4 linked regions of the Mytilus edulis genome follow. The protein of the gene in region 4 purifies or fractionates together with the protein of the main gene of each other region. This does not show direct contact. Links are inferred from orthologs where the notes say so. Each region holds a gene or a part of one and is shown on either strand. Other genes may lie near its edges. The genes, in order: histone deacetylase 3-like, prohibitin 1-like, lysine-specific demethylase 5A-like and retinoblastoma-associated protein-like.

Region 1 (7,495 bases), on a different chromosome or scaffold from region 4:
CGTTATTAGAAGGAATATAAATTTAAAACTTTGCAAATGTGTTTTTTATGTTAAGATGAACATAATTAGATGATAAGTAAAAAATCGCGGAATTTCCCTTTAATGTACATGAACACTAAAAATGTCACATTAAGTATATATATGATAAGTCATCAATTAAAAAAAACCAACATAATTATTGTAGTGGTCATTTTTTTTTTAAATTTTTTTAAATATTGCTTTATGTAGTTTAAAAGCTATCTATTCATGAATTTTACAGATATATCAAAATGTGGGATCTGGAAACAAACTTCACACAGCTTATATCAATCATATTTGATTTTATAAGTACATGATCCCTGTGATGAGAGTTGTAACTGGGAACTTAATCAATGAATAATTAAAACTGAATAGATTTTTCAGTCCTCACTTTCTTGAGAATACTGTCACAAAAAATTGAGAATGGTCTTAGCCTGCCGTTCAGTTGTACATAATTAAAATTCTAAAATATATTGTAGTAGTTGTTAAATTCAATTGAATTTTAGATAATTAACTCCCAACTTTAATCAAATGTTTTGATTTAGAAGGTGCAGATCTCATTGGTCCAAATTGTCTCTATGATGAATTCTTGACTAAGGAAATGAAATAACAATAAACAACAATTAGTTTCATTATTGTATTAACATCGTGACATCATACTCTTTCTAATCCTTTCTGTATATCCTTTCCAAATAACAACATTTATACCTGTGTACGCTTGAACTCACACCTGCGGCTAAATAGCTACAAGGTAAACGAATTGACCTCAAGCCGAGAATATACAGTGACCTATACAAAATAATATAAACACTCTGCTCACACATTAGTTGCATTGAAATGATTATCAAAACAATAACGGTAAATAGAACTGAAATATTTTCAGTTCAATATCAGTAAAAATGTTCAATAAATATTTTATGAAAAAAATCTCAACAATAATTAATTAAATTTATTCAAAAACATTTACTAGAGATAATTTTATAGGAGTTTAATTCAATCAATACAAAACGGTATATGCATATTCATGTTCGTTCATTCTTATATTGTGGTTAATAACTTCGACCATTCGTCAGCTGTGCGCTTTTAATTACGTATATTGTCGATAAGCTATAAGAGTTAAACAGATTTTATTTTTTCCCAGAATTCAATAAATCGGGCTAATACGTCACGACCCACTCGAGAATTCAACCCAAAAATGTATCGTCAAAAACATATTAGTAAAAAATTACCGAACTCCAATTAAATTAAAAATGGTGAAGCCCATAAAACCTGACGACATCAAACGTTAGTATTTATCACCATTGGAACGATTTGGAAAACAACTATTTTATTTCTGATTTTCGTTAACAAACAGTGGGTAAAATCTGGTTTTATAGCTAGATAAACCAACCTCTTGGCTGGCAACTCGTATTACAGTTGTTAATAGTTCGGTTATATTTACGTGTCAGTTTGGTCTCTTGTGGACAGTTGTTTCATTGGCAATCATACCACATCTTCTTTTTTTATGAGTAACTAAAACAGACATAATTGGTTAACATGACAATAATTGGGATCCAGCATCAAACACTGCGTAAACATTCACCACAGACAAATAGCACAACTGACAACAATAAATCAACACTGTGTAAACATTCACCACAGACAAACAACACAACTGACAACAATAAATCAACACTGTGTAAACGTTCACCACAGACAAACAACACAACTAAAAACAATAAATCAACACTGTGTAAACATTCACCACAGACAAACAACACAACTAAAAACAATAAATCAACACTGTGTAAACATTCACCACAGACAAACAACACAACTGACAACAATAAATAAACACTGTGTAAACATTCACCACAGACAAACAACACAACTGTCATCAATAAATCATCACTGTGTAAACATTCACCACAGACAAACAACACTACTGTCATCAATAAATCATCACTGTGTAAACATTCACCACAGACAAACAACACTACTGACAACAATAAATCAACACTGTGTAAACATTCACCACAGATAAACAACACAACTGACAACAATAAATCAACACTGTGTAAACATTCACCACAGACAAACAACACAACTGACAACAATAAATCAACACTGTATAAACATTCACCACAGGCAAACAACACAACTGACAACAATTAATTAAACAAACATAAAAAAAATCTAAAATGAGACGCCAACAAAAAAAGTTGATATAACTGATAGTATTAAATCTGACAAAGACGCCAACAAAATAATTGTGTGTAGTTGATAGTACATATATTAAATGTGTAGTTGATAGTACATATATTAAAACTTCATGTCGTTCTAGTATGAGTCACATTCTCGAAGAAGTACAAATTAAGTTAAACCAATAAAAGGATAAACAAAATGACTAACTAACATGACTAATGCCGAAACCTTGACTGGAAATTATTGTCCACTAGTAGTGGTATCGACAGTGTAGATCTATGTAAAACGTTTTGTGTTTGAATATGTTCTTTTGTTCTTTTTTTCTTGGATATTAAGATAACATCCAATAACATACATATTTCGAAGACTAAACAAGTGTGGGCACAGATCAGTGTGGATTGTGTTTGGATGGTTGACAGTGTTTTCTGACAAAAAGAGTTCTATGGTTCTAAGACCAAAATATCAATCAGTGCACATCCAAATTCTAATGGAATCAGTGTTAATAAAACGTCATTAAATCTATATTTTTGTTTCAGGACAAACTAATCTATTTTGGCTAAAGCTGGGACTTTTATACCACCAATATATTATCACCCAGGTCATAGATGTCCATGGATACAAAATTAAACTAATATTAAAATTCAAAAACTCAAAATCTTGTAATAAATTGTCTTCAAAAGTGACATGTTGAATACTATTTTATTTTAAAACATTACGTGAATTGTTGATTTTTTAAAAACAAATCATGTAAACTCTTCAATATCCAAATAGACAATTTTGTAACATTGGCTATCGGATAAAAGAGAATGAAGGGTGGTGGCAAAATTATATTGTCTGGGGTCTCTTGCAGAAGCAACAAATGAAAAACATCAAAATGGTTGAGAACTTTATACTTTTAATCAATACAGCTACCAAAGTGCAGTTCGTGTTATACTTGATAAAACCAAGCCGACCAACTCTACAACAAAGAAGTCGTGCATCAGTCACAATATTTGACAAAATTTAGAATCAACTAGTTTCAATCTAAAACACGCATTATCTGTCACCTTGTGGGTATCAATTTATACAATCATTATATTCAACACACTTCCTTACTCTTTGAGGCTTTTTGTAATGCTTTATTGACGGTCCCGATTCCGTCGTAATAGCATGACCATATAAGAAAGAGATCATGCATATCTAGTTTATGAAAATTCACAGAAAAAATCCCCAAAAAACGTAGCATGAAAAAGGTCACAGGAAAACTTGCCTCAGTAGATAAAGTTAAAATGATAAAGAATCAAAAGAGAATAGTAATTCTATTTTAAGTTTTTATGTTAGCTTTATATTGAAATCATGCAATGGTATTTAAAAAGAGACATCTTTATTTTTTAATTCAACATTTTCCTTTCTTTTTATACAATGCCGTATTTTTACCACTTAGACAAACCAATAGATAAAAGATAATTCATAAGTTGAACAAACATTTAACTTCAAAAGTGTGGGGAGGGGGGTCAGATACTATTATTTTTATCTGAGTCAGAAATATTTGTTTTAGTTTCTCGACACTACACATATTTTTTTTTTATTTTCCACTCTATGGTGTGGAGAAAATCTGAATTCAGAATATTTTTCTTTGTCATCTGCTTGACAACAATATTTTGTTTCATCAAATCAGAGGGGATCAGAAAAACTTCTTTTTTTTATAGTTAAATGGTCGTTTCTAACTCACAACCATTGAAATTAGACAAAATATTGACCACCAGTGTCTATCCGTATAGTCAACTTAACTCAGTTCGCAGCCGTCTGTCAGCTATTCTACTGAAACATGCATAATCTGTTTTAATGACATGGCCTTTTTTAAGGCAGTGGCTATTTTGCCGGCTCTGATTAAAATGTCTTAATGCAAGCCGACAATTTAAAATAGCCTATTTCTATAGAATTTCAAGTGCTATTTTACCGGAAACAGCAATATAGTGAAAATGTTGCTTAGCTCATGTAGGTTAATATATATATGCTTAGCTGTCGCAAGGATTTGTATAGTTAGATATGTACAAATCCTTGGCTGTCGTAAATACCGTAATGTTTTTTTCCAAAATAATTATATCGATTTTTTTTTATCTACCTGCTCATTGGTAAAATTAAATAGTCTACTTATAAAAATCCTTTTTACATAGTCTTAAGTTACTTAACTCTACAAACCCTCCGTAAAATTAGCCTCATGTCAAATAATTCTTGTACGTGGTTGTCTATGTTACGACGTTACTCTTCGGTAATGAGTCAAATCAAATGCTAACCTCTTTGGTAAAGAAGATAAATAAATGATATGTAGAAAAAGAAGAATGCAAAATGTCAAACCCAAATATTGCATATTTTTACGACCCAGATGTCGGCAATTTTCATTATGGTACGATTAATGCACACCCTAAGTATAGGCTTTATTGCAAAAATGGGTTTGGTGAAAATTATGGCCATCTTCCCATTGTTATTTATGAATCCGGGTCCGTCCGCCCTGATTTCGGTTCGCCCTAGTTACTGTTCGCCCTAGTTCCGTTTCGCCCTGAGACCGTTCGCCCTGATACCTGTTCGTCCTGATTTTTATTTTTTTATTTTAAGGCGTATTTGTTACAGAAAAACTGGTTTTAGTTTAAGGTTTTGGTTGGTAAGCGGAAGAAGGGATCCCGTAGACCGCCCTACGTCACGATTCGTGAATTATGCATATTCTATTTATAGGCTATTTTAAAACGATTCGGTAAATACTAATGCTAAAAATAGAATTTTCTTAACATGTAAAACTATCTTCAAAAAAAAACGATGCAAAATCATTAACTTTCATGGAGAGTGGTAAAGGGTTATTTTCGTGGAACGTGATCGCGTTTTTTTATTTCACGTTCAACGTGTTTTTACTTTTTTATTACACGTTCAGTCGTGCAAAACAGCTAGGTGTTCAACTTGTTCTTCTTATGTAATTTTTATACGTGCTTCGTGATTCAAATGCTTATTTTGCGTGCTCAGTATTTTTCAAAAAAAAAAAAAAAAAATCAAACACCAGACAGGGATCGTCAACATGGTCAGGAACGAAATTGATTTATGTTTAAACATATTTATTTATAGTGGATTGGGAAACAAGTTTTGCAACTTATATTAGTCCCTTTCCACTTTGCGGCTGTGAGTTCTGCCTTGTAGCGTAAGCATAAGCCTACTCTTTTTCGAAATCTACAAGGGTGTCTTTAACGTGCAAGAGATATGGCTCTCTCTTAACACGGGTCAGCCATTTATCGTCCCCTTCCGACGGACTATCATCGTTTCCTCAAGACCATACTCGCAAATGGTGTCGAGGGAGAGCCGAAAATTGAGTTCCTGAAAAATTTCATCCCAAACGGGAATCGAACCAGGAACCTTAAGTGTTATTAGTCCGATGCACTAACCAAAACACCACGGCTCTCTACAAATTGATTTAATTTTGTTTCCGTGAAATGATAAGGCGGCAAGGCCAATGATGTTCCTTTATTTGCATTTTAAAAGTTCAGAATATCTTTATATACTTTTTTAAAAGCTGTAAATCATTTATATCATAAATGTGTACACACTAAATAGGGAATGTTAAGTAAAACAGAGAGTTCATATATACAAGAGGACAGTGACTCAGTCACAAAAGGTTCACCTTCAAGTCTTTATTTTTTGTGCAACGTTCATGACAGAAATTATTTCACGTTCAACGTGAAATGGTGTCTTAAATAGGAAAATGTTCCGCATTACAGTAGCATATATCATTGTGCCCTCATTAAGCAAATACATATTCCTTTTAAGATATATATGATATTTCACATATATATGACACACAGTAGTGGTGCCTTAATTATGTTGTAAAGACTTGCAAATGTCCCATGCACGTGATCCCATGGCTTTGAATATACTATGGAGTTAATAATATTTTTATTATCTGCTTAATAGAGTACTTTGATGTAGGCAAATTGAAAAAAAACATGTAGCTTACACGTTCTTAGACATGAGACATTTCCTTTACGGGGTGTGAGGGGGTGGTGGTAGTGGTGGTGGGGTGGGGTGCTGGTCTTCGTTTCCCCTGTTAATTGTTTATAATGAAGCTACATGTTCTATTAGGGCGTTCTACAGGATCTTCTGGGCGGTCTACATGATCCCCTGTTGTCTGAACCTTATATTTTTACTATAGAACGTTCTTTAGGATCTCCCATATTGTTTGTTTATCATGTATATACCAAAGGACGTTCTACAGGATCACCTGGGCAGTCTATAGGATCCCCTGTTGTATGAACATTATATATAAACTATAGAACGTTCTATAGGATACTCTATTGTTTGTTAATCAAATATATACTAAAGGATGTTTTACAGGATCCTTTGGGCGGTCTTCAGGATCCCTTGTTGTCTGAACATTATATATCTACTAAAGGACGTTCTATAAGACCCCCTGTTGATTGTTTTTCATGTTTATACTATAGGGCGTTCTACAGGATCCCCTGTTGTCTTTACATTATATATCTACTATAGGACGTTCTACAGGATCCCCTGGGCGGTCTACAGGATCCCCTGTTGTCTTTACATTTTATATCTACTATAGGACGTTCTATAGGATCCCCTATATTGTTTGTTTATTATTTATATACTAAGGGCGTTATACCGGATCCCCTGGGCGGCCTACAGAATCCCCTTTTGTTAAAAAAAATATGCATCTGAGATAGGAAATTTAATAGGTTCCCTGTTCTTTGTTTATTACGTATATATTATAGGGCGTTTATGATCCCTTGGGCGGTCTGCAGGAGCCCCTGTTTTCTCAACATTATATATATATCATAGGACGTTATTTAGGATCCCCTATTGTTTGTTAATCATGTATATACTAAAGGGCGTTCTACAGGATCCCTTGGGCAGTCTACGGGATACCTGTTGTCTTTACATTATATATATACTATAGGACGTTCGTAAGACCCCCTGTTGATTGTTTTCATGTTTATACTATAGGGTTTTCTATATGATCCCTTGGGCGGTCTGCAGGAAACTATGGGTGGTCTGCAGGAATCTCTGTTTTTCAAAATAATATATGTACTATAGGATGTTCTATAAGACCCCCTGTTGATTGTTTTTCATATTATAATATAAGGCGTTCTAAAGGATCACCTGTTTTCTCAACGTTATTTATCTACTATAAGACGTTCTATAGGATCCCCTATTGTTTGTTAATCAAGTATATACTAAAGGGCGTTCTACAGGATCCCCTGGACGGTCTTCAGGATCCCCTGTTGTCTTTACATTATATATATACTAAATGGCGTTG
Region 2 (7,612 bases), on a different chromosome or scaffold from region 4:
GTGAGCCAAGGCTTTATGTTGAAGACTGTACTTTGACCTTTTACAAATTGTGACTTAGATGGAGAGTTGTCTCATTGGCACTCATACCATACATGCCATATCTTCTTATACAGATTTACTTTATATTTATTCAGATTGGTAGGGTTTTATTTTCTGTTCTTTCAAGGCTACATTTAACAATTAACAATGTATTGACAATTTGAAAAAAATGTAAATATTAAATAAATGTGTTTGTGCTTAATTTAGATTTTTGAGTCAACCGCAATCATTGAACATGTTGAATGAGGAACATGCAAATAAAATTATCAGTAGAAAAGGGATTTTTGTTTCAGATTACATTTTTTTACCCATTGAGTTTATCAAATTGTCTATCTTGGAGATATTATTACTTCAATACAGCCAAATGGAATATGGCAGAAGGAATAAGGGTAAGGGTATGCCAGGTAGTTTCATATTCCGGAAACAGTTTTCAGATGTGTGCTTGACTTTTAACATTAACTTTCTCTCTTTCTGTTTTACAATACTATAACTTTGCATTTTTCTAATTTTAATAGACAATATATTTCAAGACGTTCATTTGTGTAGTGATTTTCCGGTAGGAAATAGGATAGCTCTGGTGAAATCAAACACATACTTTTGATGTTAACAAGAGACGCTGCATCTCTAATCAAATTTACTCACCACTACAGCCTTTAAGACTTCATTTGTGATGGATGGAAGAATTCTTTCATCGTAATCAAGACCAACATTTGTGTATATATTTGGGAGGGCATCAGCCTTTGGTCTGAATAAAATTCTCAATGTGACATTAACGTTCTGTAAATCTGAAAACATAAAATGATTATTCTTTGATTTCTCAAAAACCATCATATAGAAAAGTGCAAAGATTTTGTATACTAACAAAATTGGGAAAATAAGCAAATAATATGCATGATATAAACACGATAAATATACGGGAAATGTGTCAACTCAAGAAAGTTCTGTAAAAGCGACTCTACCCAAATTTTTACTTGATCTGAGTTTTGAGGTACATGTAATTTAGGCATTGTGTATGAGTTTCTTAACATTTGTTTTTCAGAACAAAAAAACAAAGCCAATTTTGAGACAAACTGATGTATGGACCACGAACAGACAGACAAGGATATAACTTAATACCCCCTCCCCTGCAGCAGAGGCTGAAACATTCCTTTAAAAGAAAACAATTCAATATTCTTTGTTTTTTACCCTTCTGATAACAAGTTGAAATCATGCTATCATTGAAGACTAAATGAAAATAATGTTGCCCTAATAAATGTATATTTTATTTCTTATGGATTGCTATCTCAATGATTTATTATATACCCCATGCCATAACCCCTTTAAATATAAGCAAAACATAATCATGATAATGTACTAGGATGTTTTAAAATTATTTTATCTACCAGGCATCTGATTTAAACACAATCAAGTTAATCAGCTACATCCTGTAGTCATAGGCGGATCCAGGGGTGGGGCCCCCCCTTTTGTGGGAAAAATTTGGTTATATAGGGAATCATTGAAGCATGACTGGAGAGGGCCCCCCCCTTAGGTCAGTCAGCGGGCCCCCCTTAGGAAAAGTTCTGGATCCGCCACTGGTAGTTAGTAGTTATCACAAACGAATAGTTTTTTCGATAGTTTCCGTTGTATATTATTATCAATGGAAAATTTTCCTACCTTTGCTTCCTGTAACAACAGGAACACTTCTTGGTCTTGATCGAATGTCAAATATGATTGGTTTCTGTACCCATGGTATCAAAAAATGTGTCCCTTCTCCAGAAACTATGTCTTGTACTCCTCTGAATCTGTCAAATATAACTGCTCTATGACCACCATCAACTGAAAAAATAGAAAAGAATACATTTTCTATCATTGTGATATATATACGTGTTCTTTAACCAATAAAAAATTTGATTTTAATATTGAAAACCTTAAAAAAAATCATGCATGTCATGATGTTAACAATGCAGGACAACTCAGCCTAGAGACAACTGGGTACTAAATAAAACCTGATCAAACAACATTGTCTAAAAGTTGTGATACACAGTCTGATTTGTCTAATCATTGTTTAAAGTCTTTGAGTTATCATGTGATTATGACAGCCCAACTTCTGAGAAAAAGTTTGGTTCATGTAAGAAACTCATTTATGTAGTCAAATCTTTCCTATTTATACTAAATATAACTTTGTCCAAGTCGATTGTATAGATGGTCAGAGTTTACGTATTGACGGTCCAAGATGACTTTTATAGCGGACTATGACTTTTAAATCATACTACATCTTCTTTTTTATAATTAAAAGATGTTCTGAGTTGTCTTTTCTTTGAAATCAGCACATTTTATCTCAGTGACTAGTTGTCTTGCACCTGATGTAAGTTATAGGTCTGGTGATGAAATCAAAGCCAGAACAATGTCAATGACCTACTTTACTGCAACCTTGTTTTGAGTTCACATGCATTTCAATTGTTGTTAATTTTTACCTCTGAGAGCCAGTATTGTTTCTACTATACTAAAATAAAATTGAAATATGAAGGTCAATAAGGACCACTGGCACTGAATCGATTATTGAACCCACATGACTTCTAGACCTGTGGCTGTGCAGCTGATTACATAATTGTGTAACATTTTAGAAATTAAATTACGAATCTCAAATCTACGGTCAGTCAAATTTAACATATACACAATATCTTAGTACGTCAAACTCATCTTCGACAAGACGAAATAAGGTTTTCAAAAAGATGAAGTTTACCGTTGTATAATGCTGTCTGAGCGACTCCACCGACTAGAGCAACACCAAGGCCTAGATATCCAATTTTACTTAGAAAAGACATTGTTTATGGCGTTTGTGGTGGTTAAGAAAGAATATATTGCTCAAAAATGTTGTTGTCACACACTCTGAATAAAAAAGGATGATAAAATCCAAGAAAGGTCAACTTTTTTTGGTCAAGGCAGCATGCTATGAAAACCGGATATTTTATAAAACTTTTACCGGACGACGGATACGAACCTGTTTTAAATACGGATGAAGGGTGTTTTTTTTAGAAGTAATTTGGTAATTTGCCACAATTTATTTAAAAAAAAAGAAATTAATGTAGTATGATTAACCATGACAAAAAAACCTATCTAGAGGATATAGACAAATACTTTTAGAATATTCAAAAAAATGTGATCCTATTCATAATTAAAAGATTCAAGAATAGAACATATCTCAGGTAAGTATAAATCCATACAAACATCACATTCAAGCTTATTACATATATGAACTAGATGTATTTTGACTTCTTCTTAAAACTTTGGATATATAAACTGCACGACAAATCACGGTCAAATAGTGGTTCACACTACCAGCAGTTAGTAATGACTTCTGTTTTTGTCACGTATTACATGTCTCTGATATAAATTAGGCAGTGGATATTTTGCCAGCTCCGGCAAAATAGCGATCTATATAGAGTTTTACTATTTTGCTGGTCTTATCTCCGATTTTAATATGACTATATATGAAATCCAAATTTATTGAAACTATTTATGCATAAATGATATGTGTTGCTAGATGTGATCAATTACTCTGTTTTCGCCTTGCATCCTGGGTCCTAGGTCTGGTGTATTCACTTATAGTGACCTGGCTCATTAAATCATATGTACACACGATATTTATGTTTATCTTGTAAAGCATTTTGATGTTGTTGAATTTTTATATAAAAACTAATATGATATGCTTATCAATAAAAGAATTAGAGTTATCATTTTTCATATGGGTTTGCATGTTTAGTAAGTAGTAAACAATGCATATCTTCTATTTCAATACAGATTGTTTACAGACTTCCTTTTAAAGAAAAGAAAACTAGTATCAGTTTTAGTATGTATGCTTTTAAAATGTTTTAAAAAAGACATGTTTTAGAGACTTCTAATTAAAATAAAGAATATAAACTTTTATATGGACGCTTTGTATATATAAATGTGCTATAGAAGACTTATTTGTATAAGGTTTCTTTTCCAAGTGTATATTTCTATATTTTTTCTATTCTTAATCTGTATACTTCTAAGTCTTGATCTTAAAACCGGCAAAATAGCAAAACTATTTATAAATAAAGTTATTTTGCCGGAGTCGGCAAAATAGCGCCAAGGATGCACCTATTAATTACCATTGATGTGGCCATATTTCTTATCAATCAAATGTTAACAATTTCTACACTCTGAATTGTTCACTGACTGAATTATAAACGACTTTCTACTCCCAGGAATAGCTATAGATTGCATAAATAGTGGTTTGTCAAACGTTTTGGAATCGGGAGTATTCGAAGCTCGTTAACGAATTACCAATCTCCCGACCTATTTTCCTCGATTTGGACATAACTGAGCGAGACTTAAAATGATCATCATGACATGAGTGTCATATATGGAGCAGTGCGTGTTAGGAGCATCCGATATTACCACATGCCGATTTTGTAACCTAAAATATTGTACATGTCCCCCATGAAATATTGTCTATCGGACAAAAGTTCATATAGAATATTGTCCACTGACAGTATTTCATAATGAAATAGTGACTTTCTCCATGAAATTTTGTCACCTCCTTCTGGACAATATTTCACTATGAAATTCTGTTCATGATAATGCCTCACTATAAAATACTGGCTTTGAAAATATTTTTTAATCGAATTATTACACTATTAGAAATAGCACACAAGCATGCAGCATGCAGCATGCACATTTTCAAATTTATGACTGAAATGGTTTTGTATAGAAAGGAATTTAAAGTATTACTAATAGAGGGTGGTAATGGGGGTACCTTCATGACGAATAACGGTAAAAAATTCTTGCCAAATGACGTTAACGGTAATTTTTGGTGCATGACGATAAATTATGCACTTTCTTAATTTTAGACCCAAAAAAATGGAATGATTTTCACGTTATTTTTTTCCACAAATAACGGTAACGATAATTATTTGAGACCTCTGACGAATCACGATAAGGATATTTTGACGAATCACGGAAATTTCACGCTAACGGTAGCCGAAAATGGCCGTTTGACGCCTGACGGTATAGGGCATTATTACGATCTATTACCCTTTCAATAGTGAGTTTCAAATTTTCATAGATATATTACAAATGGTTAATTATAAAGGCAACAGCTAGTATACCGCTGTTCGAAATTCATAAATCGATAGAGAAAAAATAAATCCGGGTTACAAACTAAAACTGAGGGAAACGTATCAAACGGCAAACGTCAAACGGTCATTTTCGGCTGCTGTTAGCTTCAAATAGATTAAAATTTTAACGAGGTTCGTCAAAATAACTTTTTCGAAACATATATTGAATAAACTATTCGCCATGTAATGAAACATGCCTGATTCATTTAAATTATAATTTTTAAAAGTCTAAGCGTTATTTTGAAAAGTAAAAAAAAGAGAAAAGTTAACAGATTAGGTGTACAGACCTGCCAACTATCCCGATTTTCGCGGTATCATCCCGATTTTCATCCCTCAACCCGAATCCCGATATCGGGATTCTAAAACAAGTCAAAATCCCGATTTTCACAAAATATACCCGAAAAAATTATTTGGTGTCCGATTTTGAAGTTTTTCTGATAATCTATAATTTTACCTGGGGACATATTATGACAAGTTTACAATACTACGCTAATCAACGGTCACAACAGGTGTCATAATTTGTTGTTGCAAGTAATTGGATTACCTGATTGGTCATAACAATCCTCAATATTAATTAATATTATTATTTGTAAACAGAAAGTCGGTCAGTTGGCCTTTCATTTTTAATCAATTTATCATACGAGCACAATTTGCAACGTTTACCGTAGTTCCACAACGAAATCGTAATTAACTTAAAGATGAGAACTGTATTGAACTCTTAAAAAAACATTGTTTATCTTGAAATCCATTTAATTTTTGAAATCAGACATGTGTCTGTTGATTTAAAATCGACGCCATTTTGTATTCTTCTACTGTGAATAAACCTCCGCCGGTAAGAGCACCTCCGAACACAAAGAAAGATAACTCAACTTTTATCCATTTTCTCATTAATACTGATAGACTTAATCAAAATCTGTATTTATCCTTCTAACTTTAGGACATATAGGTTTATGTCTTTTGAGTCATGGTCCAAAAGATAAGGTTTTTGGAGGGGAAAAAGGGGTTTTCACTAAGTATCCTTTATTTTTTTAATGCCATTTTTCTCTATTCTTAAGTTATTTTGTCAATTTTAAAATAAGTACAAGAATCATGCCAATTAAAGAAATCAAGGCTTATAAGATCATCATCAGTATACCAAAAGAAAAAAGAAGAGACATGAGACTATTTTAAGAGTAAAAAACAGTGCACACAGAAACGCCGCAAAAATTGTCCCTTAAAAATATGGTCGCGCACTAAATCCCCCATGGAGATTTTTAAAAGTTGGCAGGTCTGGGTGTAACAAAGGATTTGTCAGTGACAGTAAACAAAATCTTGGTGTAACAGGTGCCCTTTTATAATACGTTAACATTACAGATCAGTTTCCGACATTTGTTTTTGCATTTACTTAGTTCATAGACGGAAACAGACCGGTCTTTTGGGCGCATGCGTGGCTGTATGATGCAAAACGTGGTTGAGAACTGAAATCGAAAATAACAAAGTTTAGGCGACTAGACCAAAATTTGAGTGGTAAGTTAACGATAACATCTTCATTGTGTATTTTGGTCAACTGCTATTAACCCTTTTTGAATGTAATTTACTGTCAAACTGCAATTTGAAAGTGAATAAAATGTTGGGGACGCTATCAGGCCATCTTGCGCCACAAAAGAAACTAGACTTTCTTATATGACGTTAAATATCCCATGTGTAAATGAATGTACTTGTTATTGTTTAAATGTGTTAACGAAGGAGTACACAAAACATTTAAAAAGTTTGTTTTTAATTGAGAAAATTATACACGTGTATATTTAGGTTTTGTAGGGGAAATAACTCTTGATTCGAAAACCATGTACCTTTTCTTTTGTAGTTCCCTCCTTTCTATGACCATTAGGATGACACTGATAATTTATATTGAAAGTATCTGTACACTTTGATAAACTTAAAATCCTTCTATATCTTTTTTTATGAACACTGCCATTATATTGTCAATCTGGCATCATGTTCTGATTTGAAATGTTAGTTTTTAGTGATGGTTTGTGGTACAGTATCCTCAAGGTGCCTCTTTTTATCTTTATTATTTCTGTTGCTGCTTCATTTTATATTTTGTCAAGATTAAGGTTCATCATAAGGAATTGAAAAATATGGCCGTGTTTACACCTCCAAAATTACTATGAGTACAGACAAACTGGTACATCCAGGAAAGTTTTAAGGCATGGCAGGAACTAGATATATAAAAGTTATATGAAGTCTATGTTTCAGAAAATTAAAAACTTACCTGGATTTTGATGTTCATTTTTTTCCAGTCTGCAGAAGATAGCAAAATAAACAAACACCCGAGTTTCATTTGATACGGTCCACTCAGTTACACAGTTTAAACCTGTTAAATCACCTATTGTTTACAGGTGTCTATTGTCCATCTATTGTCCATTTAAATCAATACTACTCACAACATTGATTATATGAGGGGAGCTTCT
Region 3 (7,984 bases), on a different chromosome or scaffold from region 4:
AAATATTAAGATAATGGCGACTTAAATTTGCCTAAAAGATCCATGTATGCAATAATTTAACAATTGTTTAAACTATCACATGGGTCAAAAGATTGATTGATATTTGGTGTTTTAACCCCACTTTTGGGGTATTTCATGGCGGCCACTTTTTATTGTTGGAGGAAGCCAGGTTTGCCCAGAGAAAACCACTGACCTTTGATGACCTCTTTGATAGGAAAACTGACAATCCTTATCAATTAAGATTGGAGTTGAGCACACCTGCATGAGCGGGGTTTGTACTCACAACCTCAGTGTTGGCTGTCTAGTGATTACAATAGTACAACTTCTTACACCACTTGGCCACAGAGGCCCCCTGGACCATAAGAAAAATCCCATGTTTGTTAACTGAAACCTTCTGATAAAAAGTAGGGCCAGAACCGGTCAGGGAAGGTTGGCAAATTTCTTTTTCTTTATTTGATCTACAAACCCTTATATATAGTATTATCCAGCAACGGAATCAGATCAGGCATTGCCTTAATGTATATTTACAGCTTCAATACCGGCCCTATGTTGAAGTTTTGTTTTTTGGGGGTTTACACAACACTATATTTATCTTGGTGTCAGCCATTTTTTGGGGTTGAAAATTCAAAACATATGTTTCATAACATACTGGGGTCAAAAGTCTTATTTTGATCATGTGATCTCTCCATTCATGAAAACATGGACATCAATGAAAAGATTGATGTTTATAGTGAAGTAACAAGAAGAAAATAGATAAAAAGTATGTCTTACCTTATATAATGTATATAAATCCACAAGTTTCCTATCCACATGAGGTATTTTTAAAGAACAACCCTGCAAAAAAAACAATCTTCTATGATCAATAATAGCATATATTTACAATGTACACTTTAAGTCAGTCCCTTATTTCACACAATTTCTAAAACAATGCAATGTCTGATGAAAAAGGAAATAAAGTAAGATCTGGCACAGTGCTAACATGTTGTGAAAAAAAGGGGGAACCTTCTTTCTTATTTCAAATTGTTGATTAACAAATCCTTCAAAATCAACATTTAAGATTATAATGAATTAAATAATAAGAGAATCATTCTTACCTGTAGCTCCCAGAACTTTGCAAGCTGGTCCAAAAAGTTCAGCTTCATTCGAGAAGTGGCCTGAAAAGGATAAATATAATCATTATTATATAGAATCAATAAAAGAATATAAAATTCACATAAATTAACAATAAATCAAGTTACTGTAAATTTTTCATTTATTTTTTTCATTAAAACAGTTTATAAACGAAAATAAGCAACAAGAAGTATAAGATTATAAAGTGTTGCCCATTTTGAGCCCCAATATACTTACATCAAGTTCATTTAATCTTTGTATTCTGGGAGTGAATGTGAATTTCTCGACATCAACAGCAAAAGGTGGTTGCCAGTCCTAAATGAACGAAAGAATGGACATTAGAATACACCTATTTGATATATTAGAAATATTTAATATTTTTCTTACAAGCTGATAATGGCTACCTTTAGTCTCTGGCTTGGCAGCCATATTGGTTGAAATATTTTATGTAGTTCCTTCTTCATAGGGAATTTTACAGTATATCATATCTAACATTTTTCATCATTTTATTCATAATGAGATGAAATTCAATAAAAAATAATCATTCGCAACCTCTTTTTCTCAACAAAATTATTTTTTGAGTAAAACTGCAAGATCTTGCTTGACCTGCAACTTTTTTATTTTTGTCTCACAAAAATATATGGAAAGTATAAGATGAGTGTTTAGAGCTGACAGCAACCATCTTTTTTCAATTTCAGCCTTTGAAAATGATATTTAGATAAAATCTGTAGTAAGACATGTAGATCAGATGTAAATAAGTCAACAGTCAAAGGTTATGAACAATCTTTAAATTGCATCCAGGATTTTCTTTTCTCATTAATTTATTTCACCTAGTGTTTTTATATGAATGTATAAGAAAAAAAGACAATTAACTTGATAAATAACACTTTAAAATCATTATACTTGTAAATTTCTGCCTTTTTTTTTGCTAAAATCTATATGAAATTATAACCTATAATTAATTAAACGATTAACCCTGGAGTAAAATTGAAATGTGAAAATACAAACTGTTTTTTTTTTATTTATGCTTCATCTAATCATAATATGAAGTAATCTAAAAAGAATTATATTGTAAAACACAGACAAATTTGCTAATTATGTAGTGATTATATGAATTTTTTATACAAAAATACTCTTTAAAAAGTTGAAATCTTAATAATCATAATAAAAGACACAGAGTCATTAAATTACGAGACACTAGTACATCCTTTGCATCATATAAGGCAAAAGGCCTCAAGTAGGAAACAGAAACAAGAGGCCCAGCTTTTCTCTTTGTTTCATAACTTTATTTTCAGAAACTTTTAACATGTTTAAAAAACATTTTGTAAACACATACTTCATGAGTTGTATTTTTTTCATATAGACTATTCATTTTATCAAACATATAACTATAATTTTAAGTTATTATATAGCTGGTGCTAATGTATGACAGATCTGAACAAAAGGCGTCGCCATGTTTGGGAAAATAACTTGCACGTATGATCACGTATTACCATGCAGAATTCATTCAACACTTTCAGGGGAAATACACACAATGGCAATTAGAAATTATTCAACAATAGTGAAAAGTAAATGATATTATAAAGTAATAACAGACCGGTGGTGGTTTAATTTTGCATAATCCAATTTTTTCTGCAATCGGTCTTATTTTGGCGATGTATCCCAACGGATCGGCAAACTCCTCCTCAGTTGGAGTAAATACCGGTGCCTCTGGAGGACGCCTGAAGCTTGGACAAGAATTGTCAACCATGCTGCAAGCCAACGGCAGACACTTCCAATTCAAAAACGACCCAGAGGGTCTAATATAACGCGACCAAAATATAGTAGTAGAATCCCTAAAACACAAAATCCAGTATGTGTGGAGAGGTGCCGAAGAACATACTTATTCTAAATATGGGAAGTACAATGTAGTTCTAATTAAAGTATCTTTTAATGTACCAAAATGAACGAATGTTTTTCCACAACCATAATTTAGCATATAAAATAAAAACTTTAAAGGGACTAGCATAAATTAAACATGTATTAATATTTTTTTCCAAAATGTTTATTTCCAATGTTTTCACACTTGTCAGTGCGTATGAATTTAATCAAACAAATTTTTGATTGGTTAGAGTAGACTGGTTCGCCTGTCTAGATCAATGTGCATATTACATATTTCATATATCAAGACAGGTAGGGTATAACGCCATCTTTTTATTTGAAATCGAGGTTGTTCTAAATTTAAAAATATTGACGTCATCAAAATAGGAAAGCCGGTGTTTTCTCCCGGCATGCATTTGTAAATGACAACAATAAACAATATGGCAGCAGACGATGTGAAAGATTTTAAAGAAAAACTTAAGAATGTCTTGATACATAAAATTGCCTTAACTAAGATCAACTGTACGCGAAACGTTAATTTAACCTACTTGAAACCTTTGCAATTGCAAAGTATTCAAGGTGCAATGAAAAGTGATGCGTTGATCATGCTACCCACTGGCTATGGGAAGTCATTAATTTTTGAAATGCTTGGAAAAATGAATAACACCAAATGCATAATAATCAGCCCCTTAAATGCCATTATTGAAGAGCAGACAAGAAAGCTGGGTAGAAAGGCTGTTAATGTTAATTCAGCGCTAATAAATAGTCTTGAAGGTATTTGTAATATTCATTCATTCCATTCTTGACTGCAGTGTCATTGAGACACTTTTTAATTTTAGGGAAACTCAAGTATGAAACAGATAAACAGAGACACCAAAAATATTCATACAGATATATGTTTGATATTATTGTTATAAATACCAATAGATATAAATAAATGATATTATATTTAAATTGTGTTCCAGTTTTGCAGAATATTAAACATGTTGCAGTACAGAAAAGCTAACTTGGAAAACATCAAACAAGATGTGAACAAACTCACACAAGAAATCAAAGGTCATTACCATAGTTCATCTACTGACGAACTATGGAATACATTTACAGAAAGACTACTTCAATCAGTCAAGAAAAACATCCCCCAGAAAACAATCACAAACAAGAAAAAACTACCCTGGGTTGATAAAACATTAAAAATCATGATAAACAAAGTTAAAAGACTACATAAAAAGAGCAAAAACAGTCCAGAGCAAATGAAAAAATACAAATACTTAAAAAGAACATTACAAAAAGAAATGCGTAATGCCTACTGGAATAACATTGAAAAAATGATATTTGACCTACCAGTAGATGAACCAGATGACAACATCAGGAAAAAACAACCTAAGAACTTGTTTACATACATAAAAAGTATGAAAAATGACAATACAGGCATTGCTGCACTTAGAAAAGATGGTAAACTTACTGACAATACATCTGACAAAACTAACATTCTAAATAGTCAGTTTCAAAAAGCATTTTCCGAAGAAACAACAAGTGAACCCATTCCGGATAAAGGAAAATCGAACTATCCAAAAATGAACAAGATCACCATCTCTAAGAAAGGTGTCATAAAATTACTGGACAAGATCAATCCTAACAAAGCAACTGGTCCAGATCAAATTTGCGGAACAGTACTCAAAGAACTTAGTAGTGACATTTCAACCGCAATCACCTACATCTTCCAAAAATCACTCGACACAGGAAAAATCCCAAAAGATTGGAAACATGCAAATGTCTGTCCTGTTTTTAAAAAAGGTGATAAACACAACGCAATAAATTATAGACCCATATCTCTCACATGCATACTTTGTAAGATCATGGAACACATAATAGCCAGTAGTATGATGGACCACCTAGAAAATAACAATATTTTGTACGACCTTCAACACGGATTTCGAGCAAATAGATCATGCGAAACCCAACTAGTATCCTTCATCCAAGAACTAGCAAAAAATAACAACAGTAACATCCAAACGGACATAATTGTGATGGACTTTGCCAAAGCCTTTGACAAAGTTCCTCACAAAAGACTCCTCTACAAACTAAAACATTATGGCATTGATGACAACACCTTAAAATGGATAGAAGATTTTCTCACATCTCGGACACAAACAGTGATCATTGATGGTGTTCAGTCAGACAAAATAAATGTAACATCTGGTGTTCCCCAAGGAACAGTTTTGGGTCCGATCCTTTTCCTTGTATACATAAACGACTTTAACGAATACATCAAACACAGTACCCTCAGATTATTTGCAGATGATAGCATAATTTATAAAACAATACGAAACAAAGAAGACACACAAAAACTGCAAGAAGATCTCACATCAGCTGCAAAATGGGAGAAGGACTGGCTCATGTCATTCCATCCAGACAAGTGCTCAGTCCTTCAGATAACAACTAAGAAAAACCCATTAAATTTTGACTATACTCTCCACCAACATGTACTTCAAAAAGAAACATCCACAAAATATCTGGGAATAACTATACAAACTGATCTCAAATGGAACAAACATGTAAACAATATCACAGCTGCAGCCACACAAAAGCTGAACTTTATTAAAAGGAATCTAAAAGTCAACTCAAAAACAGTCAAAGAAAAAGCATACATTGCACTAGTAAGACCAAAGCTAGAATACAGCAGCTGCGTCTGGGACCCGCACACCAAATCTCAAACACACCAACTTGAGATGGTCCAGCGCAGAGCAGCAAGGTACACCTGCAACAGATACCATAACACCAGCTCAGTCACTGAAATGCTACAAACTCTAAATTGGGCAACACTTGAGAAAAGGCGAATTAGAACCCGCATCATTTTCCTCTACAAAATTATACATCATCTTGTTGCCATATATCCGACAGACCTACTTACACAATCTGATACAAGAACACGACAACATTCACATATTTACTCTTTCAGACCCATACAAACCACTAAAGACTCATACAAGTATTCATTCTACCCTAGAACCATCTTGCAATGGAACCTTCTCCCAGTAGCTGCAGTTCAATGTACTACTCTTGAAAGCTTCCGAGAACAGATTCCAATATCTGTTCTCAATAAACATCTTAACATTTAAATAAATTCTACAATGTATATAGTTTTAACCAAAATGTATAGTACAAAAACAGAAGAAAAAGAAGTTATAAATGTTGAAATTTTTATTTTTATTTTTGTATTTTTCACTGTAAATAAAATGTATATCCCACGCACGCGCGGCATAGTAAAATCAGTGCCCGGCACGTTATCATCAGTATGTTGATGGAGTGCTGAATTATAAAGAAGAAGAAGAAGAAGAACAAATTATATTTATAAATGTATATTTATTTGTTCTTCAACAGAAAATATGTTGTGTAAGGGAACAACCATTTCATGGTGGGGGGTGAAATAAATAACTAAAAAAGAAGATGTGGTAATTGATTGCCAATGAGACAACTATCCAAAAGAGACCAAAATGACACAGACATTAACAACTATAGGTCACCATACAGCCTTCAACAATGAGCAAAGCCCATACTGCATAGTCACCTATAAAAGGCCCCTATATGACAATGTAAAATTATTCAAAACAAGAAAACTAACGGCCTTACATTATTTGTATAAAAAAATGAATGAAAATCTAATATGTAACACAAACAAACGACAACCACTGAATTACAGGCTCCTGACTTGGGACAGGCAAATACATATATAATGTGTTGAGTTAAACATGTTGGCAGAATCCCCCTCCCCTAACATGGGGCTGCCTTGATGATCACAAAAATAAATGGTTTGTTCTGTGGTAATTTGTAAAAACTAATCTGACTTGCAATGTTTTACTATTGAAAATAAATAACTCAGCAGGTCTTTTAAGCCATTTCATAAATGCTATTCATAGTTTGATACTTTGAGAGGGCACCAGATTATTTATAATATTCATCTTTTTAAAAAAAAAATCTGCAAAAAATTCCCATATCTTTTATTTAAAAAAGAATAAATATTAATTAGATACAATTGAAATGTCTGCATTGAAGGGAAAGGGGGGGGGGGGGGGGGGGGGGGGGGGGGGGGGGTAGGAGGGGTTGTGATCCCCAAATCCTGGACTTAAAAAACATGAAATCCTGAAGTCCAAAATCAAAACAAATCATAATCATGAAATTTTGAAAAAAGAATTCCTTTATCCTGAAAGGGTCAATCCCATAATCATGAGCTTACAAACACTAAACACCTGATCCTGGATTCTTTTTTGCATACCTTTTAGTTTTATATTATATAGCTAATATAAAATTACAACTTTTCAACTACTAAAAATTGTATCCAAGTTTATAGGAGCTACATCAAATTGTAATTGAAATGTGTTATAAAAACTTACTTGACATAGTTATATCAATGATATTCAGCCCCTCTTGACTTATTTGAATTTTTTTTTAATAATTTACAGGTATAAAAGATTAAAATTATGCAAGCTGAAACAGTCACACACACAAAAAAAAAAGGAAAACCCAGTGGCCACATGCTGAACTATGTGAATTACATTTTTGCTTTATCCTAAATATTTTTCTTTAGATGTTGTCCCTAGAAACTAAAGTCTTACACAGATTCTATACATTTTGCTTTGAGTCCAAAATATAAACAATTTTGAAACAGAACACATTCAAGCTTTCAGATTAAGACAGGGTCTGGGAAACACTCAGAAAGCATGATTCCTTCGTTTATTATTTTTAGCCTCGCTACACTTTGCAGAAAAATGTTTCGGCAATACTTTTTAAAATAGGCTAGTGACTTGTATTGATAGTTGCCTCATTGGACCTCTTACTACATCTTATGTATAATAAGTTCAAGTACTGTTGCATGACACATTTAACCTGGCAACAATGAGTTGGGTGGTGCCCAATGATACCCCTGCCATTATGGCAGATAATACAGATTCTTGATATAATCTGGGGGACCAGGAACCGTTGATGTGCTTATTGCTTTATATAACCAAAAATTGAT
Region 4 (7,768 bases):
ATCAATGACTGCCTGGTAAATGCAGCATGCCAATAGGTCAGACTTTGATATTTCCTACAACAGAAGAAATTAAAGTAACATGAAGACTATACATATATCAAACTTGTACTATTCATTAAGATGTTTCAATGTCCATTTAGTGTACACTAAGAAAGAAAAAATATCATTTAGAGGTGCTGCATCTAAAGTGCTTTTCTTAATTAATCTCAACCGGGAACGCTAAAGTCATAAATATCAAAGCTAAGGATGTATATATAGTTACTTGAGAAATTGTGCTTTTTTCTCTTCATACAGTTGTGCATACTATTTCATGGCCATCATGTATACAATTGCATTTTACTTTGAATACATAACCACAAAATTTGAACTTCCTGACCTCTCACCAATCCATTACAAAATAAATCAAGTGCCTGTGCCTTCCATCCCAAACCCCACCCATCATCACACTGTTATCACTACCTTTAGATCAGCAGTTACTTTCTCCACAATCTGCCAGTAGTCCCAAGCTTTATTCCGAACATCTTTACTCAACTTCAGTTTGTTGCTCAAATTCTCAAAATTGGTGTCAACTGTAACTATGGTTTCTACTGTTTCTGGAATTTCCTGTTCTCTGAAAAATAGTATACTTGTAAAAAGCAATTTTAATCAATTCTTCTTCTACTTGGTTAAGAGTCAGTCTTCGTATCGACAATTGAGAGTCATTGACTCGGGTCATCTCAAACTTAATTATCTTAACTATATAGCTTTTAAATATATACATACAAAGTTTTTTTTTTCGAACATAATCAAAACAAATGCACTTATGTTTCAGAAAATTAAAACTGTTTCTGAATTTTGATGTGTCTATTTTTTGTTCCAATATACAATGTATCTATAATACTAAAATAACGAGGTCCAATTTGTCAGCCATCGTGGGATAAAAACAACAAATCAAAGAATTCAACTTTATATATAGCTAATATAGGACAATGGTGTAGATTAAAAATTACACCACTCCAGACCCTTTTGTTTTCCACATAATTAACAAGTTCTGGGTCGAATCCAATACCGATACCAATAGTATATTCACCTGTTACCTATTACCTTATCTGTACATTTCACATCTGACAGGCACACTACCAAACAGTGTATTTAGGATTTTGCTATATACACGGGTCATAATCACAGGGTTGACACTACTAAATTCAATCATTGTCAAATTGTTCCCTATTGTAGTATTTTAATCAGTAAGATTTTCTAAGATAACAATACAAATACTGAAAATCTAGACTTAAAATAAGGCATATAGGTACAGTTTTCAATTTGAAGAATTTGAATTTAAAAGAATTCAACTTTATTTATAACTATATATAGCTAATATAGGATAATGCTGTTGATTAAAAACTACTCCATTCCAGGACCTTTTGTTTTCCAAATAATTAATATTACCAATAATTGATAAGCTCCAGGTCGACGGGTTCAAACAGAAAGATTTTGAAAGCAGAGAAAACTGCATATCTTATAATCATTTTGATAATCGACATGACTTTTATCAGATGACAATACGAATACTAAAATATGGCTTACGCATAGTTATATACTTTAATTCAGTCACGGGTGTGTTCTAGTATATTATAATGTTCTTCTCATATATTTTATGATGGTATAATACTGAACCCCTAACGAGAAGGGTTGTGCTTGATATTCATATGATGAAGACATAATCTTTCAATCAGTTTAATTGAGGTCTGGAGCTGGCATGTCAGTAACTGCTAATAGTCCTTAGTTAATTTATGTATTATAGACATTTTGTTTAGTTTCTTTTGATACCTATTCTGACATCAGACTCTGACCTCTCTTAAACTGAGTTTTACTATGCGTATTGTTGTGCGTTTGTTTTTTCTTCATTGGCTAGAGGTACAATGTATAGGGGGAGGGTTGAGATCTAAAAAAACATGTTTAACCGTGCCACATTTTTTTGCGCCTATCCCAAGTCAGGAGCCTCTAGCCATGCCTTTGTTAGTCTTGTATGATTTTTAATTTTAGTTTCTTGTGTATGATTCGGAATTTAGTATGACGTCCGTTATCACTGAATTAGTAACATATATGTTAGGAGCCAGCTGAAGGACTCCTCCGGGTGTGGGAGTTTTCCTTTGATAGGGAAGTTGACAATCCTAGTCAATAAAGATTGGATTTGAGTGCTCCTGCACGAGCGGGGTTCGAACTCACAACCTCAGTGATGACTGGCTTGTGATTACAGAAGTAACAACTTAGACCACTCTGCCACAGAGGCCACCCCCTCCCCCCCAAATCAGAATGAGAAACAATGAGAAATAGCAGTGGTAAACTGGACCCCTGATGTATTTACTTTACACTATCGATCTTCATCTCATGGGTTTTCGCACTATTATTATTAAGAAGGCATTGTGACGTCACAATTTCCATTGAAAAAGCATGCTTTAGTATGAATTCATATGACATACAAAAACATTTATATTAACATGATTAATAATATAATCTGACAATACACTAAAGTTAGTGCAAGCAATTGGGATTCTTGCCTTCTTCCACCATAATAAGTCTTCTTGGTGCACTGCTAGTGCTAATCCCTTGTTGTTGGAGATTGTCCTGTCGGTATTAAATAAGTTATCCCGAAAGGATTCCTCTATAGACATGTAGACTTTACACTAGCAGATCTGGAGGAGTGATACGGCTAACACCATTTACAATGTATAATTACTCTAAATAAAGGTGACTTAAAAGAATAAAGGGGAAAGCAATCTAGTAGAACAAAACTAAAAGCGATGTAGCTGTCCCCTCCCACTTCTCCAAAAATAATTTTATTTGACCATATCCATAACAGGTGCATATGCAATTCTTCAGCCCTAAAAAATTCTGGAACTAATACTTACTTCGAAGACCGCGACATGTTACGTGTAGTTATTATTCCAATTTACTTTATAATGTTTTTGTTGATCAGTTTGTTGATACACATGTTATTGTTTTGATGAAAGAAATCCCGCGATTTTTTTGTGTCAATTTTTTTGATTGGTTGATATTTTAAAGGTCAAAGTTGAAAAAATGTTACTGGCGCCAATTTATAAATAGTTCAATCATTCTTAGCGTGATTTACGTATTTGATATTTTCTGCCTATAACAATTAAAATAATTATAATGATCAAGATAGCAAGTCAAATCACTATTTATAGAGATATTTTAAAATTCACCTCATTTGAACTTTGGTGGATAGTTTTCACCAGACACATGTGCCTCTGTTTTCACACTTCTTCAGACACATTTGTTTTATCAATATATCTTTAATAGTATAATAGTCCCAGATTATATGTCTCTTGTATTTTTAATGAGGTGGCTGACTAAAAAAAATTGTATTGCCTTTTTCTTTAGTTGTAATCTCTGTCCTGCGTTTTTATATCATTCTTTTCCATCCTGCTTTTTTATTATTAGTTTGTCTTTATAGGAATTGTAAATATGCAATTTCTTGGTTTATCTAGTCCAAACAATTATGATGCATTGAAAGGCTATATTTTTTTCTTTGACGCCTTACAAGGTGTCAAAGCTAAAATCGATGAAAAAAACTTTCCTCAACGTCATAATTAATTGGACTAGAGTTTATCCTAATGAGGCTAATCTTTTTTTTACATAAATTGTCATCCTGCCATCTTCTTTTTGGAAAGTACAAAAAATGTATCTTATCCTGCTTTTTTTTTTAACTCAAAACTACCGTCCTGACTTTAAAAAAAAAATCATCACTAGCTCCTAAATTCTCACCTAAACAGAGTATAAAATAGTTATGGACTTTGCCAAATAGCTTTTGACCAAGTCCCACATCGCTTTATGTTAACTAAAACTGGATCTCTACCTTTTTACAAAACCACACACAAACAGTAGTCCTTGACAAGAGTCATCAGATGTTGCTTCAGTTACTTTTGGTGTCCCACAGGTTCTGGGTCCTGTTCTATTTCTGGTATATATATAAATGACCTACCAGAATATTTGAAATGACTGTCAGCATCATATACAAAAGTATCAAATCTAACAAAAGATTGTAATAGCCTTCAGAAAGATATTGATGCTGTTGCAAAGTGGGATGACTTTTCATCCTGACTGTAATATCTGCTATTATTCCGGGAACGTCACACACAAACCTTCGGGACATTTACTTGTTACGTAACGTCGCTACGGCAATACCGATTGTATATTTTGTAGCCATTATTAAATTACTATCTGAACCATCAAGTCTTACTCCGATCTTTCACTGACAAATGTACATTTCTCACAGCTTCTAACGAGAAAACTCCCATCAAACATAACTACATTCTTCACAGTCATACCTTAGAATCTGACTCAACAAAAATCTTGGCATTACTCTTCAATATGATTTAAAATGGATGCTGTTCAGAAAAAAATACTATTGATCTGTGTTTTGTAATAAACATTGAGTACACAAAAATTATAGCAATTTGAATTCCTAACCAGAAGACCATCTTTCCAATGTATAGTTATCTAGAAAGTCCAATTAATCTAATTCACTGGAATCAAACACAATACCACCATCTCATTCAGCATGCAAAAGGGTGTACATGTGACGTCATATGTACAAAAATACTTTCTCTTTGATTTTTTTTTTCATTTGTCATTTCTAGGCTTTTTAAAGCTGACTATGCGATATGGGTTGCTCTCATTGTAAAGAAGGTTAAACGGTAACCTATAGTTGTTATTTGGTCTCTGTTGGAGAGTTGTCTCATTCTGAATCATACCACATTTTTTATTAAAGTTCACAGTAAATAAACTACAGAGAGAACAAGAACAATAGCTATTGAATTAATTTAATGGGACAATAAAACTAACAAAAGTTAAAATGTATTGACCAATAGGAGATGACTCTGTTGAAAAGTTTCATTTGGTTCACAATAACTACTGTTCTATTTAAAGTAAGATCAGCCATATTGGTGTGTAACATGATAGTTCTGACACATGAAAACTTGAGGATGGTTATGTTAAAGATTAGTTTTTATTAGCAGGGTATTGTCAGACGAGAATATTACAGAAATTGTTATTGCAAGCTGACAAACATGATGACCAGTGGATGCCATGTAACAAGAAATGCCATAGGACTATGTTAGTTTAAGAGCTGACAAACATGATGGCCAGTGGATGCCATGTAAAAAGATATGCCATAGGACTATGTTAGTTTAAGAGCTGACAAACATGATGGCCAGTGGATGCCATGTAACAAGATATGCCATAGGACTATGTTAGTTTAAGAGCTGACAAACATGATGGCCAGTGGATGCCATGTAAAAAGATATGCCATAGGACTATGTTAGTTTAAGAGCTGACAAACATGATGGCCAGTGGATGCCATGTAACAAGATATGCCATAGGACTATGTTAGTTTAAGATAAACAATCTAACCCATAAACATATCACAAAAATAAATGCCATTTTAATTAAAGAAATACAAACATTTAGACAATGGTAGTTTTATTCAAAACAACCTTTGATTATATGAAAAATTTAGTTGACAAAGTGCACTTCTAATTCCTTTGAAATATAAATGCATTTTAAAAATTCAAAGATGCAGCTCTGGATACACGATAAATATTTCCAGAAGTGCATACATATACATGTAAATTCTTTCTATGATAATGCTAAAGCACATAAAGCCTATTTTCCATTTCTAAGCAATATTCTGAACATTATATTTTATCATGAGAAGCAGTCTTATTACAAATCAAATAGAATATTTTTGAAGTAACTTATATTCAATTCAGTATCTTGTAAAACAGGCTACTAATCTATGAGAAGCTGCAAAATCATTTAATATTTAAATTGATGTCAATTTTTATGATAATTGTTGTGTGGTATAAATGAGTATATACAAATGTTGACCAGAAATGTTATAAGATGTACATATTTACAAATTATGATAAATAACAGGTTTTCAGTTTGGTTTTATATATCTAATGACAGATATTTAAATTTGACACTGTTCTGTAATGACAACTAATTGCACACAAATCACTAATTCAACAAATGTTCATCCTCATAAAAACCAAGGTCAAGGTTTAGACTTTCTTCATTAAAATGACATGATTGTCACATTTCTTCTTCAGATTATTTCACTATCAATGTTTTCCTTGAGAACTGATTGATTGTAACACCCAGGTTTTCTTAACATGCCCAATTAGTCATTTATAACTGATACCTTATTTTGTGGACAGTATGTTCATACAACAAAGCATATAAATAAATTAATTATATATCAGTCTCTATATTTATTTTTCTTGTGTTTATGTCGATGTCTGCTAGGACTTCTGGATGTTGACCTTTTCCTTGGAGTTCGTGACCTTGATCTTGACTTTCTTGATCTTTTGGGACTACAATGAAATGGAGAAGTAATGTATTTAGATGGTTCAGATCACAATATAACATCATCACAATCTATTGACAAGCATTCTTGAAGTATTCATGTATAATCATTTTTGTTTATGTTAAATGTAAGTGAATTGTTTGGGTTATTTGGTAATGTACATTCTGTCAATTACACCATATACATCCAAATATTACTTATATTTTTGCTTTTAACTGCACTGTTAAAGATAGTGTGAACATCTTTAATTCAATATGATAAATAGTTTATATTTATTTCTATGAACCAATATAATTTAGTCTGATAACTGGTTGATTTTTTTTATAATCCTACCATTAATTTTTAATTTTGACTTGAGCATCCAATATATAGAATATATTCAAATGTTAACTAATCATTGTGAAGTTATGTAATTTGGTTGTTGATGGTTATGCTGTTTCTCAAATATGATGCATAAAAGAAAGTTGAAAACCATTTTTTTCACTCAACAGAGATTTATCATTGTTTCCTATAAGATACAACATAAAGGAAGGGACTACACAATATTACATTAATGAAATACAATCAAAGCGCTGTAAGCGCTGAAGGCAGTTAACCAAAAACCAAGGCAACCGTAATTATGAAAACTGTGGCAATGTTGCCTCAACATTAAACATTCATATATAGTACATTCATGTTTATCTAATGATTTATTTATTAAGGCTAATAATTTATATGTTATCAAGGTTTCAAAAGCAATGCATATATCAATGTATATTTTTTAATGGTGAGTCTGCAGTGGTACAAGTTCCCAATGATTGCAGTTGTTCTATTTGGTAGTTAACCTTGGTTTTATTTGACTGCTAGAAGTTCAAGTTGACTTAGTATGAACATGTAATAGTATGAATGGACTGGTTTCCCTGAAAAGAAAACTGAGTTTGTGTTCTATAGTACAAAAGTTATGAGACACGAATCAGACAAATGTTCACTACAACAGGGATCAAAGGTGAGGTCTGACTGACCTGCCCATAGTAAATGTAAATGATTTGTTATTTTGTCCCATACATATGAATATATATAATTTAGGGGTGGGGATCTCAACGGTTTTCAAGTTCTCAAACAGGTAGGGGTAGGAAGAGGATTTAGGGGGGCAGGGGGCCCGCCCCCCCTTTTTGGGAAAAAAATTGGTTGCTTATATAGGGAATCACTGAAGCGTGCCCCCACTTATGAAAATTTCTGGATCCGCCACTGGGGGTAGGGTGACCCTAGGGACTTCCCCTACATTTCATTTTATTTGTTATATTGTCCCATACATGAATATATATGGTTTAGGGGTCGGGATCTCATTGGTTTCCAAGTTCTCAAACAGGAGGGGTAGGGTGACCCCAGGGACTCCATCTATATTTCATTTAATTA

The links.
Region 1: the proteins of retinoblastoma-associated protein-like (region 4) and histone deacetylase 3-like purify together in Homo sapiens (affinity purification with western blotting; 3 studies listed by BioGRID). This does not show direct contact. The link is inferred for Mytilus edulis from reciprocal best matches to the Homo sapiens genes RB1 and HDAC3.
Region 2: the proteins of retinoblastoma-associated protein-like (region 4) and prohibitin 1-like purify together in Homo sapiens (affinity purification with western blotting; 3 studies listed by BioGRID). This does not show direct contact. The link is inferred for Mytilus edulis from reciprocal best matches to the Homo sapiens genes RB1 and PHB1.
Region 3: the proteins of retinoblastoma-associated protein-like (region 4) and lysine-specific demethylase 5A-like purify together in Homo sapiens (affinity purification with western blotting; 4 studies listed by BioGRID and IntAct, with this or other methods). This does not show direct contact. The link is inferred for Mytilus edulis from reciprocal best matches to the Homo sapiens genes RB1 and KDM5A.

The regions. Positions count from the first base shown.
Region 1 is NC_092344.1:34,971,153-34,978,647, forward strand, and holds the start of histone deacetylase 3-like, read left to right. Parts: upstream 1-4,480; 5' UTR 4,481-4,530; coding exon 4,531-4,588; intron 4,589-7,495. UniProt on the Homo sapiens protein: Histone deacetylase that catalyzes the deacetylation of lysine residues on the N-terminal part of the core histones (H2A, H2B, H3 and H4), and some other non-histone substrates.
Region 2 is NC_092357.1:67,337,047-67,344,658, reverse strand, and holds the start of prohibitin 1-like, read right to left. Parts: upstream 3,003-7,612; 5' UTR 2,844-3,002; coding exon 2,762-2,843; intron 1,855-2,761; coding exon 1,693-1,854; intron 825-1,692; coding exon 682-824; intron 1-681.
Region 3 is NC_092344.1:46,177,132-46,185,115, reverse strand, and holds the start of lysine-specific demethylase 5A-like, read right to left. Parts: upstream 3,006-7,984; 5' UTR 2,861-3,005; coding exon 2,708-2,860; intron 1,426-2,707; coding exon 1,348-1,425; intron 1,155-1,347; coding exon 1,095-1,154; intron 835-1,094; coding exon 772-834; intron 1-771. UniProt on the Homo sapiens protein: Histone demethylase that specifically demethylates 'Lys-4' of histone H3, thereby playing a central role in histone code. Does not demethylate histone H3 'Lys-9', H3 'Lys-27', H3 'Lys-36', H3 'Lys-79' or H4 'Lys-20'.
Region 4 is NC_092346.1:87,036,144-87,043,911, forward strand, and holds the start of retinoblastoma-associated protein-like, read right to left. Parts: upstream 3,014-7,768; 5' UTR 2,909-3,013; coding exon 2,892-2,908; intron 611-2,891; coding exon 460-610; intron 55-459; coding exon 1-54. Other genes in the region: U2 snRNP-associated SURP motif-containing protein-like, read right to left, coding at 6,266-6,380. UniProt on the Homo sapiens protein: Tumor suppressor that is a key regulator of the G1/S transition of the cell cycle. The hypophosphorylated form binds transcription regulators of the E2F family, preventing transcription of E2F-responsive genes.